Linked DNA regions of Caenorhabditis elegans. The protein of the gene in region 1 purifies or fractionates together with the protein of each later gene. This does not show direct contact. Each region holds a gene or a part of one and is shown in the gene's direction. Other genes may lie near its edges. The genes, in order: C05D11.13, ctf-18, egc-2 and C24H10.2.

What was found.
Region 2: the proteins of C05D11.13 (region 1) and ctf-18 fractionate together in Caenorhabditis elegans (co-fractionation; one large-scale study listed by BioGRID). This does not show direct contact.
Region 3: the proteins of C05D11.13 (region 1) and egc-2 fractionate together in Caenorhabditis elegans (co-fractionation; one large-scale study listed by BioGRID). This does not show direct contact.
Region 4: the proteins of C05D11.13 (region 1) and C24H10.2 fractionate together in Caenorhabditis elegans (co-fractionation; one large-scale study listed by BioGRID). This does not show direct contact.

The regions. Positions count from the first base shown.
Region 1 is NC_003281.10:6,442,505-6,446,159, reverse strand, and holds C05D11.13 (Vicilin-like seed storage protein At2g18540), read left to right. Parts: upstream 1-1,573; 5' UTR 1,574-1,754; intron 1,755-2,187; 5' UTR 2,188-2,188; coding exon 2,189-2,337; intron 2,338-2,375; coding exon 2,376-3,045; 3' UTR 3,046-3,103; downstream 3,104-3,655. Other genes in the region: let-721 (Electron transfer flavoprotein-ubiquinone oxidoreductase, mitochondrial), read left to right, coding at 1-142, 270-1,059, 1,117-1,283; mel-32 (Serine hydroxymethyltransferase), read left to right, coding at 3,345-3,407.
Region 2 is NC_003282.8:10,122,004-10,128,206, reverse strand, and holds ctf-18 (AAA+ ATPase domain-containing protein), read left to right. Parts: upstream 1-1,562; 5' UTR 1,563-1,568; coding exon 1,569-1,633; intron 1,634-1,687; coding exon 1,688-1,854; intron 1,855-1,896; coding exon 1,897-2,135; intron 2,136-2,181; coding exon 2,182-2,384; intron 2,385-2,427; coding exon 2,428-2,596; intron 2,597-2,641; coding exon 2,642-3,099; intron 3,100-3,674; coding exon 3,675-3,927; intron 3,928-3,974; coding exon 3,975-4,238; intron 4,239-4,292; coding exon 4,293-4,556; intron 4,557-4,604; coding exon 4,605-4,820; intron 4,821-5,269; coding exon 5,270-5,524; 3' UTR 5,525-5,670; downstream 5,671-6,203. Other genes in the region: Ras GTPase-activating protein-binding protein gtbp-1, read left to right, coding at 1-267, 323-565, 613-971; irld-21 (Receptor L-domain domain-containing protein), read left to right, coding at 5,920-6,203.
Region 3 is NC_003282.8:8,899,810-8,903,736, forward strand, and holds egc-2 (CCHC-type domain-containing protein), read left to right. Parts: upstream 1-1,836; 5' UTR 1,837-1,851; coding exon 1,852-1,908; intron 1,909-1,954; coding exon 1,955-2,576; intron 2,577-2,623; coding exon 2,624-2,941; intron 2,942-2,987; coding exon 2,988-3,151; 3' UTR 3,152-3,368; downstream 3,369-3,927. Other genes in the region: rad-54.L2 (Helicase ARIP4), read left to right, coding at 1-913, 957-1,106, 1,153-1,238; Putative serine/threonine-protein phosphatase C27B7.6, read right to left, coding at 3,438-3,591, 3,892-3,927.
Region 4 is NC_003284.9:5,063,009-5,067,178, forward strand, and holds C24H10.2 (uncharacterized protein), read left to right. Parts: upstream 1-1,593; 5' UTR 1,594-1,635; coding exon 1,636-1,683; intron 1,684-1,737; coding exon 1,738-1,794; intron 1,795-2,299; coding exon 2,300-2,464; intron 2,465-2,518; coding exon 2,519-2,674; intron 2,675-2,729; coding exon 2,730-3,287; 3' UTR 3,288-3,655; downstream 3,656-4,170.

The DNA.
Region 1 (3,655 bases):
ACATTTGAGCAAGCAAGTTCTCGATAAATTTGATTTGAGAACACATGCAATGACTTATGGAATTGGACTCAAAGAACTTTGGGAAATTGATCCAGCAAAGCATAGACCTGGTTATGTTGAGCATACTATGGGATGGCCATTGGTAAGTTTCTGAAGATCTAAAAAATTAAGAAAAATTGAAAAATCTAGTAAAATGTGAGCTTTTTTTTTGAGTGTTTCAGATTAAAAGATATATTCTAGAATTTAATCTCTAAAAAATGATTTTTCAGAATGTTGATCAATACGGAGGATCCTTCTTGTACCATATCGAGGATCAAGGACAACCACTTGTTTCCGTTGGTTTCGTTGTTGCTCTTGATTACGCGAATCCAAATCTCAATCCATACAAAGAATTCCAAAAATACAAAACTCATCCATCGATTTCTAAACAATTGGAAGGAGGAAAACGAATTGGGTACGGAGCACGAGCTCTCAATGAAGGAGGATTCCAAAGTATCCCGAAGCTTCATTTCCCCGGAGGATGTCTTGTTGGATGCTCAGCTGGTTTCTTGAATGTCGCTAAACTGAAGGGAACTCATAATGCAATGAAAAGTGGAATGGTGGCTGCTGAATCAATTTTCGAGGATATTCAACAAAAGGGAGAGGATGTGCAAACGATTGATCCAGCTACATATGACAAGAATATTCGTGATACTTATGTTGTTAAAGAGCTCAAAGCAACCAGAAATATTCGTCCATCATTCAATACTTCATTGGGATACATTGGAGGACTGATCTATTCTGGAATATTCTATGTTTTCGGTCGAGGAATTGAACCATGGACTCTTGGACACGGAAAGAAGGATAATGAGAAGCTCATTCCAGTGAAGGATGCAAAAGAAATCGATTACCCAAAACCAGATGGAAAGCTAACTTTTGATCTTCTTACATCTGTATCTCTTACTGGAACCAACCATACAGAAGATCAACCTGCTCATTTGACATTGAAAAATGATCAAGTTCCACTTGATGTGAATTTGGCAGTATATGGTGGCCCGGAGGCTAGATTCTGTCCAGCTGGTGAGATTTTAATACAAATTTGACTTTTAAAAACACATAAATAACTTTTTTTTCCAGGAGTCTATGAATTCGTCCCATCCGAAGCTGATGAATCAAAGAAGCGTCTCCAAATCAATGCTCAAAATTGCATTCACTGCAAGACATGCGACATCAAGGATCCTCAACAAAACATTAACTGGGTTACACCAGAAGGAGGTGGTGGCCCAAAATACGAGGGAATGTGAATCCTTTAGCTTCTCGTTTATGTTTGTGTATAATTTTTGTACTTATTTATTCGCCACTATCGACTCGTAGATTATGTATTTCTGTTCTTCAACGGTTTCTCTCAATTTTCTCTCATTTTCGTGTTCCCCATCTTTTGTAATGCCATTACATTTTTATCCAAACCAAATGAATAGATTTCTGATTAGTGTGTACTTGAACGGAAAAGCTTCAATATTGCCATAATTGTGGTACATATATACATTCATCCCACTACAGTATCCTTTTCTGAAAAGATTGCAAAGTGTTGTATAGAAGAAGAGACGCAGATAATCAAACAAGACGTCTGCGCTCGTGTATGTTTGTCTCTGGACAGACATACACACAGAAACACCGACAATGAAGATATGAAGACACACAGACACACAGAAAGCCGTCATCGATTCTCCTGTTTTCTTTGAGCCTTATTTATATTTTTCTTATTACTCCGACGCGTAATTTTGAGATTTTTGCGCCAAAAACGGTACCCAGTCTCGACATGATATTTTTTTTAATGTGATAATTTCAAAACGGTGCACACCTTTGGAGAGTACTTTAATTACAAACTTTTGTAGTTGCGGAATGTTCATCGATTTTCCATCGTATTCCGATGAAAAACATCCTTAACTATTGAAAACTCAAAAAAAAACACGAATTTTAACAGAACGTAAGAAAAGTATGAAAAATCATGAACGGTTCCACACCAACTAGATTAAAAAATTACAGTACTCCTTGAAGGCGCACAAGTTTTTCTCATTTAACTAAAACATGTCGTGTCGAGAATCGGCACCGTATTCTTGGCGCAGGAGTCGCAAAACCTCTGTCTGTGTATTTAGTAATGTAGATTTTCAAGTTTTCTGAAAAATTAATGTATATTTGTAAGTTCAGAATGAGTAGAAAAGATTGCAAAAATATTGTCGAAGACGAAGAAGAAGATGAGAAGAGTAATGGGAATAAATCTGAAAGTCCACAAAATGCTGGCCTAGAAGAAACAATTCAGAATTTTATAGCAACATTTTTACCTGGTTCAAGTGATGAGTAAGAGTAGTAAATAGCATATTAAAATTTTTTTTAAGTTTCAGACCTCATATTACGGATATTCCAAGTTCATCCGAACCTCAAGAAGGATCTAGAGAATGCAGACTCTCCAAAGAAGCACATCGGAAACGTCTGAGAAGAGCTCGTGAAACATCAGAGGAGACTCACACACGTCTTGCCAAGGCTGCAGACTATAAAAGGAAGAGATGCTCAGAAGAGACAGAAGAAGAATATAGAGAACGATTGAAAAGGCAAGCTGAAAGAAAAAAAATGGAAAGAATGCAAGAGTCGGAAGATCAGGCAAATAATCGAAGAATAAAGGCTGCAGAGCATCGACGCCAGTATCTGCAAAGGGAGTCATTCGAAAAAGCTCAGGAAAGAAGGAATAAGGATGCGGAACGGAGAAGGAAGAGTCTCCTGGCTGAAACTCCAGAAGAAGCTGAATTGCGTAGAGCCAAGAATGCTCAGAGACGTCGGGATGCTATTAAGAATGAAACACCAGAGGAAGCTGAAAATCGGCGACAGCGTGATGCAGCAAGAAGACGGCAATATTTGCAGACGGAGACTTCAGAGCAAAAATCAGCTAGGAAAATCCAAGATGCTGCACGAAAACGTCAAAATCGAATTTTGAAGCAAGCAGGGCAAAGTGAAGAATCACTTGCAGTCATCACGGGATCATTGAGCGATGGAACTCTTTCGGGTCTATAAAAATTAATTGAAAATTTTTTTAATAAATAAGTAGTTTGTTGTTTGACCTTTTGCTTTTAAAACCGATAAAATCGTATTAATTTTTTGAATCAACGGTCCGCTCATTTCCACCTATCAGTCTTTAAATTCTGTTGAATCGCAATAAAAACGGCAAGTTTCATCTCTTGTTTGCAACAAAACAGAGAAACTGATAAGACTGATAACGATCAGTGGTCTGATCGATAGTCGATTTCTGTTTTAACACATTTATTCTGAAGTTCTAGAATTTTATTTGTTATTTTAATATTTTCAGGCACAAAATGTTTGCAAGGATAGTGAGCAGAAGAGCAGCAACTGGATTATTTGCCGGAGCCAGCTCCCAGGTTTGTGTGTGCACTTTCGCGTGGGATCAGTTGTAAAATACGCATGGCGCGAATATTTGAATTTGTAAAAATTTTGCCCGCTCAAAGTTGCAATTTGCTTTTCTCTCCCCATTTTCATTCCCAAAACGGCACCGTCCATGGTTCACTCGTTGTTTCTGATCAGAAAGTGATCTTCATCATAATATCTTGCCATTTTCCGCCTTTCACTCAGTTATCTCGGGCTTGTCTCCGACTTGTCCAGCAATAGA
Region 2 (6,203 bases), on another chromosome or scaffold:
AACAATCAAAGCCGGCTCCTCCAAAGCAGCAAACGCCAAAGAAAGCTGAAGATCGTATAGTGAAGCAAGACACTCCGAAATCTGTGGAAAAGGAGGTAGCGAAAACACCGCAGAAACCACAGCTTGCCCAACAGCCCCCACAGCAGAGAGCCCCAGTTCCTGAGCCTGTTCAAGAACAGCCAAAGGTTCAGAAAACGTGGGCTAATCTTGTGGGTGGAGGTGGAAAGTCTCAGCCCCCACAACAACAAAGTTATGGACAAGGACAGCGTGAGTTGAAAAAACGAAAGATGATCGGGCTAGTCTCAGATTATTTATTTTTCAGAAATCCATCAGCAAACACAAATGCACCACATGCAGCCTTCCATGCATCAGCAACAACAAGGATCGCATGCTCCTCTTTATCAGCAACAGAGACAGTCGCACCCAGCTAATGAATTGCGCCAAGCTCAGGAAAGTTCAGATGCCAACCTAAATGAGCGTAAGATCTATTTGGGAGGAATCACTCGAGAGATTGTCCCCAGCAACACAGCTCAGGCTGAATCGGAAATCAAGCAGGTGTTCTACAGTAAGCAAATTAATAGTCCCAATAGTTCACTAAATTTTCATTTTAAGAATATGGAGAAATCGAGGAGGTTCGCATGCCGCGCAAGGTTCTTGACAGTCCGAACGACACATCGAAACATGCCTTTGCATTTATTACCATGCGTAACAAGGCCGGAGTAAAAGCCATTTTCGAAGCGGCTACAAAGGATGAGCAAGGCGTGTGGAAGCTTCCACTCAAACTGGATGCATTCGGATTTGACGGACATGCTCAAATTAGTGAGCAACGTGATCAACCACAAGGCGGCGGATTCCGAGGAGGACGTGGAGGTTTCCAACCACGCGGTGGACAATTCTTCCGCCGTGGCGGTTCGGGTGGTGCTCCACGAGGTGGTATGCGCAGCGGTTTCCAAAATGCGGGACAAAATTAGAAGCTTTCCGTTCTCCTTTTTCCTTCTTGTAAGAATTGCACATCCATTAGATTCTGTACCTATCCTTCTCATTTTCCTATTTATTGTTTCTCCTTTCCTTCCTCACCGTTCTAATAATGATGATTTAAGTAAGAAGATTCTGGTATCTGAATTTTATGGCGTGTAGCGTTTTAGTAGATCTCTCAACAATCCAATCCAATCAGCCCGCATCCCATTTTCACATCCTATCTCCCCGGTTTTCGGTGATTGACGACCGTGATCCCATCTGAGTTTACTCTTTTCGAGTACAAGTTGCAATCAGACATCATCCCACCACCGAATATCCAAGTTGTATTTGAATGTTGTTTTAATATATTACCACTTTCCTTCTCCTTTTACAAGCCCCCGTTATTGTTTCCTTCATTGGTGTTCGGGAGTACTCTTTGTACTCAAGTTCTTACCCCCATTTTGGCACGTTGGAATTAAAATAAAGTTTTGTATCTAAATTATTCAAGTTTCTCAATTTGTTTTTTTTATATGTAGTGTGTCAAGTAACAGTGTATTGTACTTATTGTTGTGAGATTGTGTTTCTAACATTTCTAATGGATACAGCAAGACATGGATGATGACTACAATGTACTGCATTCTGGGTTTGCCGACGATGATGGGCAACTTGAATATCCGTAAGATCTTTATGTTGAGAAGCAGAAGTAGTTTTACATTCGCTGAATTTTAAGAGATGATGAGGATCAGCTAGCTGTAGTTCCGAATGGAGACTCTGAAAATCAAAGAATCAATGAAGTTAGGAATGCTCTCGAAGAAGTTGGATATGGTAAAAGAAAAAGACGCTTGAATGAAGTAGAAGACGTATTTGATCAATATGGAAGACGTTCACATCCAATGGGTCAGTCAAAAAGAAGGTTTTCCAATTAAATTATATATTTAGATTGGCATATGAGAATGGAAACAGTTTCCAGTGAAGTATTACAAAAGTCACAAGTAAATGCTGTTAAGAGAAGAGCCCTCGAAAGCTTGGAACAGAAAATCAACGAAGCAGCTGCTCAAGCTGAAAGAAAAATGAATGAAAATCATCATTCTAATGCTTTTGACGATTTTCAAAGCGGAGAGCAGACAATTTCTTCACTTTGTGAGCTAGAAATGGAACGGAGATATAGAAGACGACAGGTTATTACTTTTCCTTGAAAGATTATATTTTTATCATTGAATTCAGGAAATCATGCGAAATCCGGTAACTGATGGTTCACCTTGGATTGGTATCAGTGATGTCGTCAACGGGCAACGATTTTATATTCGAACTTTCCGTGATGATCGTCTTTCTGTTCCGTTAGTAGAATCGATTACCCAACAAGCAACCCGTTCGAGGGTCGGTTTTCGAGCTTTTCAGTCGATTTGTCAGGAATCCGAACGTCTTAGGTAATAGTTTCACTAGAAAATTGAATACTTTTATAGTTTTCAGCAAGTTGAAAGAAGAATCTCGCGTTAAAGAACAGGAAGCCGAGTTTTCACGCATGCTTAAAGAAACTGAAACACCGTCTGAATATGAAAATAATAAATCTCATCCAGAATCATCATTATGGGTGAACAAGTACGAAGCCAAAAATTTCTCAGATTTGCTCTCGGACAGTGTAAGGAATTACATTATTTTAAAAAAAGAAGTCACGATATTGCAGACTGTCAATCGAAATATTCTTACATGGCTGAAAATGTGGGACGAGTGTGTGTTCCATCAAAAAGTCGACGATTTACTAGCAAGCCTCGGTGAAAAAGAACGAGAAGTACTACACATGGATAATGGCAAAATTCGGCGTCCATCATCGAAAATGTTGCTTCTTTCTGGCCCGGCTGGTCTCGGTAAAAGTACACTAGCACGAATTGTCGCTCGTCAAGCAGGCTATTCAACAATTGATGTAAATGCAAGTGATGCTCGAACAGTCGCAGATTTAAATAAAGTACTAGAAGGAGCTGTAAAAACATCTCGAACACTTGATGCAGATCAACGGCCAGCATGCCTGATTCTTGATGAAATTGATGGAACACCAATTGATACTATTCGTCATTTGGTTCGGTGTATTCAAGCAACAGGCAAAAAAGCCATTCGGCGACCCATTATTGGAATTTGCAATAATTTGTAAGTTATTTTATGGCTTCAGTGACACAGAAAGAAAATATATAATAGGATATCGGGAACAGTTGCAAAAACATTTTCAACCAAAAACCAATTTTCTCCAAAAAACCGAAAAAAAAAACACTTTTGATTTTTCCATCATACCTACATTTTTGAAAGATAATCTTTTGTTTTTTAGTCCAAAAATCCATTTTTGCAAGAAACACCAACTAAAAACGACAGTCCTAATCGGGAACAAAGATGTCAGCGAAAATTTTGACGATTTTTTTCACTGAAAATCTAAAAATCGAAAAACGACAATTTTTCGAAGAAAAAAAATCAGTGAACCATAAAATTATTTTTTTTTTTTGAAATCAAATTCTGTTTTTGTTGATAAAAACACAAGAAAACATGAATAAAAATAAAATAGAATAAAAATGATCAAACTTTCAAGATATTTTTCGAAAAATCGAAAGAAATCAAAAACTAAAATTCTTGGTTTCAGATTTTGGTAAAAATCGGAACACAAACCCCCTTTATCGGGATAACTCAATGTATTCGTAAGATGTGTTTGATTTTCTAATTATTTGTTTTTAAAGGTATACGCCAGCATTGCGTGATTTACGAGGAGTCGCCTGGTGTGTGCAACTAGTCGCAACAAAACAAGATGTTTTAGCAAAACGACTGGAAGAAATTTGTGACCGAGAACGTCTTCGATGTGATTTGAGTACTTTGAGAAAGTTATGCGAATTGTGTGCAAATGATATGAGACATTCAATTAATACTCTTCAATGGGTAGCGGTGGCAGCACGAAAATCGAATCGAGCAATTGGAATGAAGTTGATCCATGAGGTATGACGCTGTATATTTTTTGATATTAATAGAAATCTGTTTTTTAGGTTATTGAGAAAGAGAAAGGCGGATCTGCTTCTATTTTCGAACATTGGTCGTCAATTCTTGAGTTATCTAAACATACAGACGCAAAGGGAGGAATCAAATCTGTACGAGAAAGAATATTTGATATCGAACGAATATCGGCAGACCATGGAGGAGAAGAACGATTTGTGTCTGGTTTACATGCAAATTATCTTGTAACTCTTCCAATTGGAGTAATACGCAAAGCGTCTACATGGTTTTTGTTCTATGATGATATTCAGAAAATCGTGAGTTTTAATTACTATTAGTATTAAACAACTATTATAAATTCTTGTTTTCAGGTACACAGTCTTCAAAACTGGTCGGTTCTAAAGTATGTTTTTTCATTCTTCGTTTCCCTCCATCTCAACATTGCGACTCATGCTCGTGTTCCGATCGCCTATCCACAGTTGGAACAAAATATTTTCCAAAAAACGAAGGAATCGGAAGAAACAATCAGCGCAGTTCGATCATGTGGACAATCGACTAGAGGTGCACCAAAAAAAGAGCTTTTGCTGGATATTTTGCCATTCATTGTCAATATTGTTCAGCCACCTATCAAACCGGTAACAATCGCTGGTTGTTCTCTTTTTTTTTAATTTTTAAATTTTCAGATGAATGAGTCATTGTATAATCAACGGGAACTTGCGACTTTCAATCAAACTGTCTCGATTATGTGTGATTATGGTTTGACATACACTGCCACAATGGTAAAAGATCAAGTTAATTGGTTATTTACTCCTTCAATTGATATTTTGACAATGTTTCCACTGGATGGACCAAAGCGGCCGTATCTTGCCAATGCGACAAGACAAATGATTGCTCATAAGGTTTGTATTTATTGTTTTAAATTAATTTTCTTTCATTGCCTGAAAGTTTTGAATTCACACTTTGTGCTTTCTTAAAATAAGGAGTAGAGTTTGTAGGTTTTCTCATCAAATAGATTAAAACCGGCCCGAGACACTCGATTTTGAAAATGAGATTTCTCAAAAAAAATTTCAACATTTTTGTGGCGTTCTGCATTTTCGAAAATTGTCGCAACAACTGGAATACAGTTTTTAAATCAAATTTTCACCCTTTAATAAAAACTGTATTTCAGCTGCTACGACAAGCTTGGGAAAATCTCAGATTTTAACAAATTCGAAATTCGAAATTCTGAAACACCATAAAATTGTTTGGGAAGTCTCAGTCTATTTGAGCAAAAAAAAAGCTCCGTGTTCTGCCCAGGCCATGGCAAATTTTATTTTCAGAATTTAATTTAATTCTTAAAAATTTTCAGATCACTCTTATGCGTGTTCGTCTGACAGAGAGTACCTCGAATACTGAACGAATTTCTACGAATGCCGATAAAATCAAAGCAATCGTTGAATCAGAAAGCAAAAAGAAGAAGAGACTATCTGCCGGAGCAATGAAAAGATTACACAATGGAAGACTAACAGATATAGTATTTAATCATCAGGATGGAGACAGTAGTGCTGTCAAAAAGAAAGTCACCATGCAACAACTCAACTCTATACTTTTTGGTGATTCTTAACCTTAATTTCAAAGTATTTGTTTGTAAAATGACACTATTTTTGCTGTATACTACTTTTTTCAGTTGTTTCAGCGCTGTATACACGTTCCTATGATCTTTTGCTCATTTTCCGATTTTATCACCCCAATGAACAATACATTCCTTTTAAGTTCAGACTAAAACATTGTTAATTTTCTGCAGAAAATAATGCGGGGTTCGAAATTGATATGAACAAAAACATGATCTCTTAATAGTTCATAGAATTCACATTTCAAAATTAAGAATGCTATAATAGCATTTCAGCTTCATCGAAAATGTCACTTGTTTTCATGGCAACTCAATTGAAATATGCAATTAAATATCTTCACCGATTCCTACTTCCACAAACTTTATTCTCAAACAAAAATATTTTGAGAATGTTTTTTCATATATTTATGTGGCTCTTTTATTTATCGGAAGTTGATTCAGACAATTGTTCATTTAATGTTCATTATATCACAAAAGAGAGCTTATTTCCAACTGAATGCTCTCAAATTATTGGAAGATTTCGTATCGATCAAAATTCTGAAATGAAAAGTGAACAATTGATCACTTTATTCAAAAATGTTCTTCAAATTCGAGGAGTTCTACAAATATGGAATACTCAATTAACTTCAGCGCCTTTCATGAAAAATATTCAGAATATAACTGGAGATCCATT
Region 3 (3,927 bases), on another chromosome or scaffold:
GATGCTCAAGCTGTATGTCGTGTCTATCGATATGGTCAACAGAAGAAAACATTTGTTTATCGTCTTATTATGGATAACTCAATGGAGCGATCGATTTTCAATCGACAAATTTCAAAACATGGACTACAACAAAGAGTAGTTGACGATGCACAAGTTGATGCAAATATTTCGCAAAAAGAATTGGAGACTCTTCTAATGTATGATGAGGCACAAGATGTTAATCATGACAAATGGAATACAGATGATTGGGATTTCGGAGATCCGGTTCTAGACTCAATCACTAAGAGAATGAGTCAAATGTTTGCCGGGAAACCGTTCCTTCATGAAACCTTGATAATGGAGTCAGAGCAATCACTCAGCGAGCAGGAAAAACGAGAAGCTCAATTACTTTTTGATAGAGAACGACGTATGGAGAACTATGATCCATTGAGTGGCCTGAGCAGTTCTAACTTTTATAACAATGCTCCTGGAAGCTCAATGGGAATGATGGGTCCACCACCAGTTCCGATGTTCAATAATAACATGCAAAATAGTTTCAATAATCATTGGCAACAATCTCCTAATCAGCTTGCACCCAATTTTGGATCTTATCCACCACAGCAATTTCCACAACCGATGCCAAACATGTCACAATTTCCACCTCATGGACCATCACCTCAAATTCCATCAATTCGTCCATCACCAATGCCTCACACGCTTCGAATGAATGTCAGTCAATTCCATCACCAAGGAGGTGGTCATACGATGACGTCATTCAACAATGGCTATCCGAATAATAACAATGGAGGAGCTATAGGAAACCCTCAACAAATGCTTCCTCCAAGAGATCCATCAGCTTTTCCGGGAGCTGTTATGAGCAAAATACCATCATTTTCCCCGGCTGGAGCAGTTCAACAATTGATTACTGATAGACGTGAGTTTGACGTTTAAGTTTTTTTGAAAATTCAAATTTTTAGAACTCGTTTTTCCCATTGTCGGACATAGAGATCAGCTTCATCAGGTTCAGGCAAATACACCAATACAGTTAGTTGTTCCGAAAAATGGATATTATGTGAAACTACGTGATGGAACAATTCTTGACGCTGTCGGAAGTGTTTTTGAGAATCGTTAGTTTACTAGAAAAAATTTCGTATAATTTTTTAAAATTTATAGATGCCCGTCAGCTTCGTGATATGTATCTAAGCAAAAATTTCAACCATGATCCGCAGCAGGTTCAAGAAGTCATCGATCTTGATTAACAACGTCTTGCATTTTTTTCTTTTGATGTACATTTCGTTTTTTATCATATAAAATACAACATCTATCTCAATGCAACATCCAATGAGATCTCTGATAATTCACTATCATTTTACTCAATTATTTTTCCTCTTATAGAGGCTCCTAAATTAATTTTAGGCAAGTTTCGAATTTCCACATTTCAACTTTGTCCACACTCTTCCCTTTTATCATTAGTATGTCAATTAATTAAATTTTTCTGTTTTTTCCAACACAGTAATCAGCTCCGCTGTTCGGCAAGCTGCCAATTGTGTTTTATACGCCTTCTCTTTTAATTTAATGAATAAATACGAATAATATTTAAATTATCGGATTCGCTTGAAAGAGAAATTGGAATAACATTTTTCCGCAGATCCCCGTTTTGTAGTGCCTCTTAATAACGCGTTTTTAAATACTGACTTGGTTACTGTAGGTTTTGGTCCCGACACGAAATTCTGAACTCGTTCGGCACGTTTCTTCAATTTTCTTCATTTCTCTCACCCATTTCTGATGAATTAATGGTTTTTAGATTAATTTTTAAATATTCAGCGTTCTGCCAGTTTCTCAAAATAATTTTTTTAGACATTTCGGTCGGATATGTCGGAATTGTCGAGTGAAATGAAGTCAATGGAAAACGGAATGTCGGCGAGAACGGTATTTTTTATCAAATTAATGACAATTTGTAAACTATTCATTTCAGGACAGACAACATTATCTTGAGAGAGCTCAATACTCTCCATGGCCAAAAACTCAAAATAGTGGAGCATTCGGAGCGCTAACTGATCAACCGAGAAAGTATCGAGGAGGATTTGGAGGAGGTGAAGGCTTCTCTGATTTTGGATCCGTTAGTGGACTTGGCGGTAGAATCCCCAGAAACTCCTCTCACCTAAACGACAGTTCTGGATTTGGTTCCGTACGAGGAGGGTACAGCAGTTATCGAGAAAGCAGATCATCTCGTGTTGCTGTTTCGGATGCTCTTTACATGAATAATGAACGTTGCGTGACACCTCTGCCATCTGAGAATATAATGGGTAGTCCACGGCGTGGATCTTTCCGAAGTTCGCCCCGATCCGATGGTATGGGATCTTCATCGAAGAGACCACGCTCTGGCCGCCGAACCGGTAGACGTGGGCGAGGTGGGCCAGGCCACTGCTTCCATTGTCAAGAGCATGGACACATTTCGAGAATGTGCCCGAAGAAGGTTGGAGAAACGGATGAACACGGAGATGGAAAAGATATCGAAGTGGAACCATTTGAGACGAAAGATTTACTCCAAGAAGACGCATCAAGATACTCTTCTAATATGAAGGCTTTGCATGGAGGTTATTGTTTGAATACTAGGAAAACGTAACAATTTTTATGTTTTCAGGTGGACTGTATCAAAGCAAGTTGGACAATCAAAAGGCCCGTGAGTCTTATTATGGAGGGTACGGCTACAGCATCAACAGTCTCACCCCAAGAAGTGTTGGCAGCGTGAGAAGTGGTTTCACAGCACCAATGATGTCGCCCGAAATTGACAAATTCTCAGAGCAGTTGGACAATGCTTTGAAGCTCAGCAATGTCGAGCCGGTAGCTCCGTCGCCATACGTGATGACTATCACTGGAAAAGGGCCAGCTGAAAAATTGATGAAAGAAGTGCCACCAGTTGCTCCAATCAACACTCTACAGAGCAGAGAAGGAGCCAAACGTGAGATTATCAAAATTCTATAATTGTATAATGTTCATTATTACAGAAATTTCTACGGAGACTTTGTCAATCGAGACACGCAGAACTGTGATGCGCGATGGAGAATTCCACTTCGAGGAGACGACTATCATCAATTTCCCACGAGTTCTTCCGCCCAACGTCCGTGTCATCGCTGCCCAGTTCGTGCCGGTCGCTTCACAAAATTCATAATTTCTGATAATTATGATGCTATCAAGGAAAATGTTTAATAATTACTATTGGGAACTCTGCCCAATTTGCAGCGTATTTTTACTGTTTTTCATTGTTGTTCCATTTATTGACTTCTAGGTATTGTTTTTTACGTTCTGGAATTGTTTCTGTCCTAAATTTGAAAACTTGTATTTTTGATTTGAGTCTTCAACCTCATTTCATAAAAGTGTTTCATGTTACTCTCGTTTCATAATTATACACACTCAAACTTGAACATTTTCTACAGTATACTTCATTCAAAGGAAATCTACGCATTTTCAGTAGAACTCGGAGGCGATCGTGGAATTGGCGGAGATTGGGCGAGTGGAGCGTCCGGAGATGGAGTTCTTGGCGGAGGCGGCGTCGTACTAGTAGTCATTCCCAATTTTTTGCGGATTGATTCAAGAGACATGACTTTATCTCTGGAAATATTGTAAACATGAAAAAACTTCTTCGCATATAAAAAACCAGCCGTGGACCGCACCTTCGGCGCGGCCCCCGACTTCTGGGGCTGAAAATTAATTTTTTATGAAACTACCGTAACCCTACAGTATTCCTACCGTACCACTATTGTACCACTACAGTACCCCAACTATATCCCTACACTAACCCTAACTCACTATCCCTCCAGAAGCCAAAACTTCACAGACTACAAAGGCTACATAGACTACAAACTATGGACACACAGAATAAGCGCTTTATATATAGTAAATGATACTTACTTCAAACTAACTTCTACTCCATATCCTTTCTGTGTC
Region 4 (4,170 bases), on another chromosome or scaffold:
AAGAGACGTTTTCAAACTGTCCAAATAACGGTCCACTCAAACAAAGGACCAAAATACTGGAATGATCTTATTTGAGCCATAGCCAAAAAACCGACAAAAGTAGCTAATATTCTAATATACGTAGACGGAGCCAATAGCAAAGTTCAGCATAGAAAATATTATTCAATACAAAAACTGTAAAAGCCTCATTAAAATTTGCTGAATATTCTCGTAAAATAAATATATTTGTTTTAAGTGATAAGGGTTTTCAAATTTGAAGAATTGAATAACGAAACTTGTAATTTTCTATCAAAAAAAACGCTTCAATAAATTGAAACTTCTTACTCAAAACTGAAGCTCGAATCTCAAGCGATCTGTATCTCAAGACATTATTAATTCCAAAATTTTTTCTGCGTTTTTGCTTCAAATTTTTGAAATTTTTAATTTTTGTAGGGGAAGTCTAAAAACGAGTAGCATCAAAATTAAGAAGAACATTCAAAAATCCTAATAAAATTTACATAGTTTTGATTTATTTAGTAATAATATAAATTTTTTAATGGTTTTAAATTTTAAATATCAGAAAATTTGTAATCTGATACAGATTGTTACTATACGGGCATTTGATTTGCAATCACAAAAACATGAACTACATTTGGAATCAATTTGAGGTGAAGTTTTTTAACATTCTAAATTATAACTGATGTTCAAAAATGGTTAAAATCTTCAAAAATTTCAGAAGAATATTCCAAACTATTCTATCATTCCGATAGTTTTAGGTACTTTCATAAATTGCAAAATACTTAGTCTTTATTTGTCCATTACTGTTTATTATGGTTATTCTTTGATTTCAGACCACCATCCTTGCATGTATTGATTCCAAATTAACTTTTGCTTTTGATCTTTCATTTTCCCCACCGTGTTAATTGATAACATATTTTTATCATTGAAACAGACCCTGGCCCGTCGTATCGGGAAACATCAGTGAATCGATAATGAAAAACGTCTCTCATTTCGTAAGCCTCACTAACCGATTGGCCCGGGCAATTTTGTTGGCCGCGGCCCAGGGACGTTTCGAAGACAGAGACGACTCATGCTCACCGCTGCTCTGCTCTCTTTTCGTTCTTCTTGACATAGGGACGCGCTCAGAAACGTACGGAGCGGAGCGGAGCGAGTAGAGAGTTCCACAGCGCACATTCACACTCACAACCATCTGCGCTCACACCACTCACAAACACTCATGGAGGCAAAGGAAAGGACGAGCGCGCGCGCGCAATTGAGTGCCGTTCTGTGTATCACCAAAATCTTTTGAACGTTCAGTTTTTCTTAGTGCTTTTTCACTTTTTGCACATTGGGTGTACTTTTCATATATATTTTTGGTTCTATTATTGATAAGGGGATGTATTCGTTTTTTTTTCTTCATCCAACCCAGAACGTTTATATATTCAAAGCTAATTCATCTCTATTGAAAAAAAAACCAATTCTTTATTTTCAAAAAACCACGACATCTCTTATCTGTCTCGTTTTTCTTTGAAACTTTTTTTGGGCGGTGCCAGCTTGATTGAAAATACAGTTTTGTGTTGCTATCATTGTTGAATTTTTGAATTTCGCTTTGATAAACATTTTCATTTTCAGACATTGACATCTCCAGCTTGAGCCATGAATGGAAGCCAAAGGGTGCCGGAAATTTCACAAAAAATAAAAATGGTTAGTTAGTACTTACGCCTTTTGAATTAATAATGAGATTCAATTATTTTTCAGACCGGAGGATCAAAGCTGTTTGATGACGCCGTGACTGTGCAAATTAACATGAAAGAGGTTTGTGTTCTTGAGAAAAAAACGCTTTTTCGTGAAACCCACTAACTAAATTTCAAATAGCATTTCCCTTTTCCGGCTGTTCAGCAGCTGCCAGATAGCAAAAAGCCGACTAAGAAAAATGGCTCATTTTCGTGCTGGAAGAATGGAAAGAATATAGTTTTGGAGGTGGGGTAGAATCAGTCGAAATTGCCTCAGAAATCCAAATTTATCAATTAGATTTGATTAGAAACATTTCAAAATTTTAAATGACTGTTTAATATGTTCAGAAAAATTTAGAAACTTCGCCGCAACATTTAACCAAATTAAGCCAACTTTTAATTGTTTTCAGTGCTCATTTGTTGGTCATCCAATAGGTTAATCCCAACTTTACCCTAAATTTGCAAATATCTAGCTCAAGTCTAGCATTTTTTGCAATTGACATTTCTAGAATTGAAAAATATTTTCAAATAATGAAACTATTTTTCGTTTTCATGACCTATTATTTGCAAACAATTCTCAATTTCAGAACAAAAATATTGAAAAAGTCAGCAACTTCCGACGGTTTAACTCTAACCAGGCTCGTGTTGAAAAAGACAGAAACCAAGCTTCGATGATTTTTGATACTGACGACATTGACTCAGGAAATGGATCGAAAAATTCAAAAATGGAAGTGAAAATTACAATTAATATGGTACAAATTTTCAGGAATTCATATATACATAATAATTTTTAATTCATTTTCCAGAAACAAATTGAAAAGCATCATCGGGAAATCGATTCTTACATTTCGCCGTTTTCTCCATCACCGGATTCAATTTTTCTGCGCATTCCATTGTTGCCACAAGACTATGCGCGCATTGAAGAAGCAAGAGCCTCGCTTGACCAACTTGTTCGCAAATGTGTAAGTGATTTTTTGAAATTAAGATATATAAAAAATATAATAAAATTAATTTCAGCACCAAATGACTCCAAAAATCATCCCACCCAACGACGCGAAAAATTTCCTTCAAAACCTTCGACGGATCGATGTGCGTTGCAGTGCGTTGTACCCAAGGCCACCGGCACCTGGAGACAAGGAGAAAAAGAGCTACCGAATGTGTCCATGCTTTGAGCCGGAAATTGAGGACATTGAACGTCTCGTTGTTCACTATGACGGTGTTTTCCAAGCCATCAAGTATTTCCACAATCTTGACCTCTTCATGGAGCACCAACGAGCTGAGAAGAGAAATCTTTTCGGATTGGACTGTTCGGATGATGAGGATGATCATTTTGAAGATGAAGAAGAGTATGAGCATGAGTGTCGTCATCACTGTACTTGTAACAATGAGGATGAAGAAGATGTGAAGATGGGACAAGATAATGATCGTAAGAAACTCGAGAGCAAAATGATCAAAAAATTCGAACAGAAAGGTTTCTATTACAATGCGGAGAAGCAGCGAGCACTTCTACGGGAGTCTCTCCAAAAACTTGCTCTGAATTCTGGACCTGGATCTGGATCTGGATCTGGGCTCTGATAACGACTTTCAAAACTTATAGTACAATTTTATTCTGGAATCCGACTTTCCCCTTGCTTCAAAACTTGATCCCAAAATGCTGTATATTCAAACTCAAATCCCTTCTCTTTCAATTTTGTAACCTTTCCCATTGTTTTTCCGATTTTCCTTGCAACGCATTGTATATCCCGTTTATTTTTAAAAGTAAGCCAACAATTTCGAGTGTGAACCAATTCCAGATTTCCGCGTGAAACAGGTCCCTCCGTTTGTAATTACTGAACATGACTAAGAGAAGTGAGCAAAACATCGATTGTTGTAAATTTATACTTCTCGACACTAATTTCTATAGAGCATTTTAATTGGACAAAATAAAGTGAAATGTAAAAAAAGGATTTTAGGATAGCATGCATCATGAAAAAGTTACATGGATTGAAGGAGAATCCGTTCCTCAAACGCTAGGTGCTGCGAATCTGGGATACAGGTACAGCTAGGTGACAGTATGGTGATGCGATCATTCAGTCGTGAATTGCTAAACTTTATAATTAAACTGTGTGCCTAGGTGATAAAGCTCGTGGCCTCTTAGTCCACCACTACCGACTGAGCTATAAAATTTGTTAATACATATTTCAGGATTCATTGGAATATACAAAAAATTTATTTACGGCGTCGCTTTGCCTTTTTCCATTTGCTCTGAATGGAAGGTTCTTCACTTGGTACCGTTTTATTCATATCTTAAAGGTGGAGTGACGACAATGGGGACTTTGTCTAAATACAGTCATGATGATCCTAAACGATTAAATATCATGATACTTCGAATAACTTTCGATTTTTCAAAATTGTAAACACTGAGTAATTGACATTCTTTGACAGTAAATAAATATATTTCTAAAATTTTATTGAATAG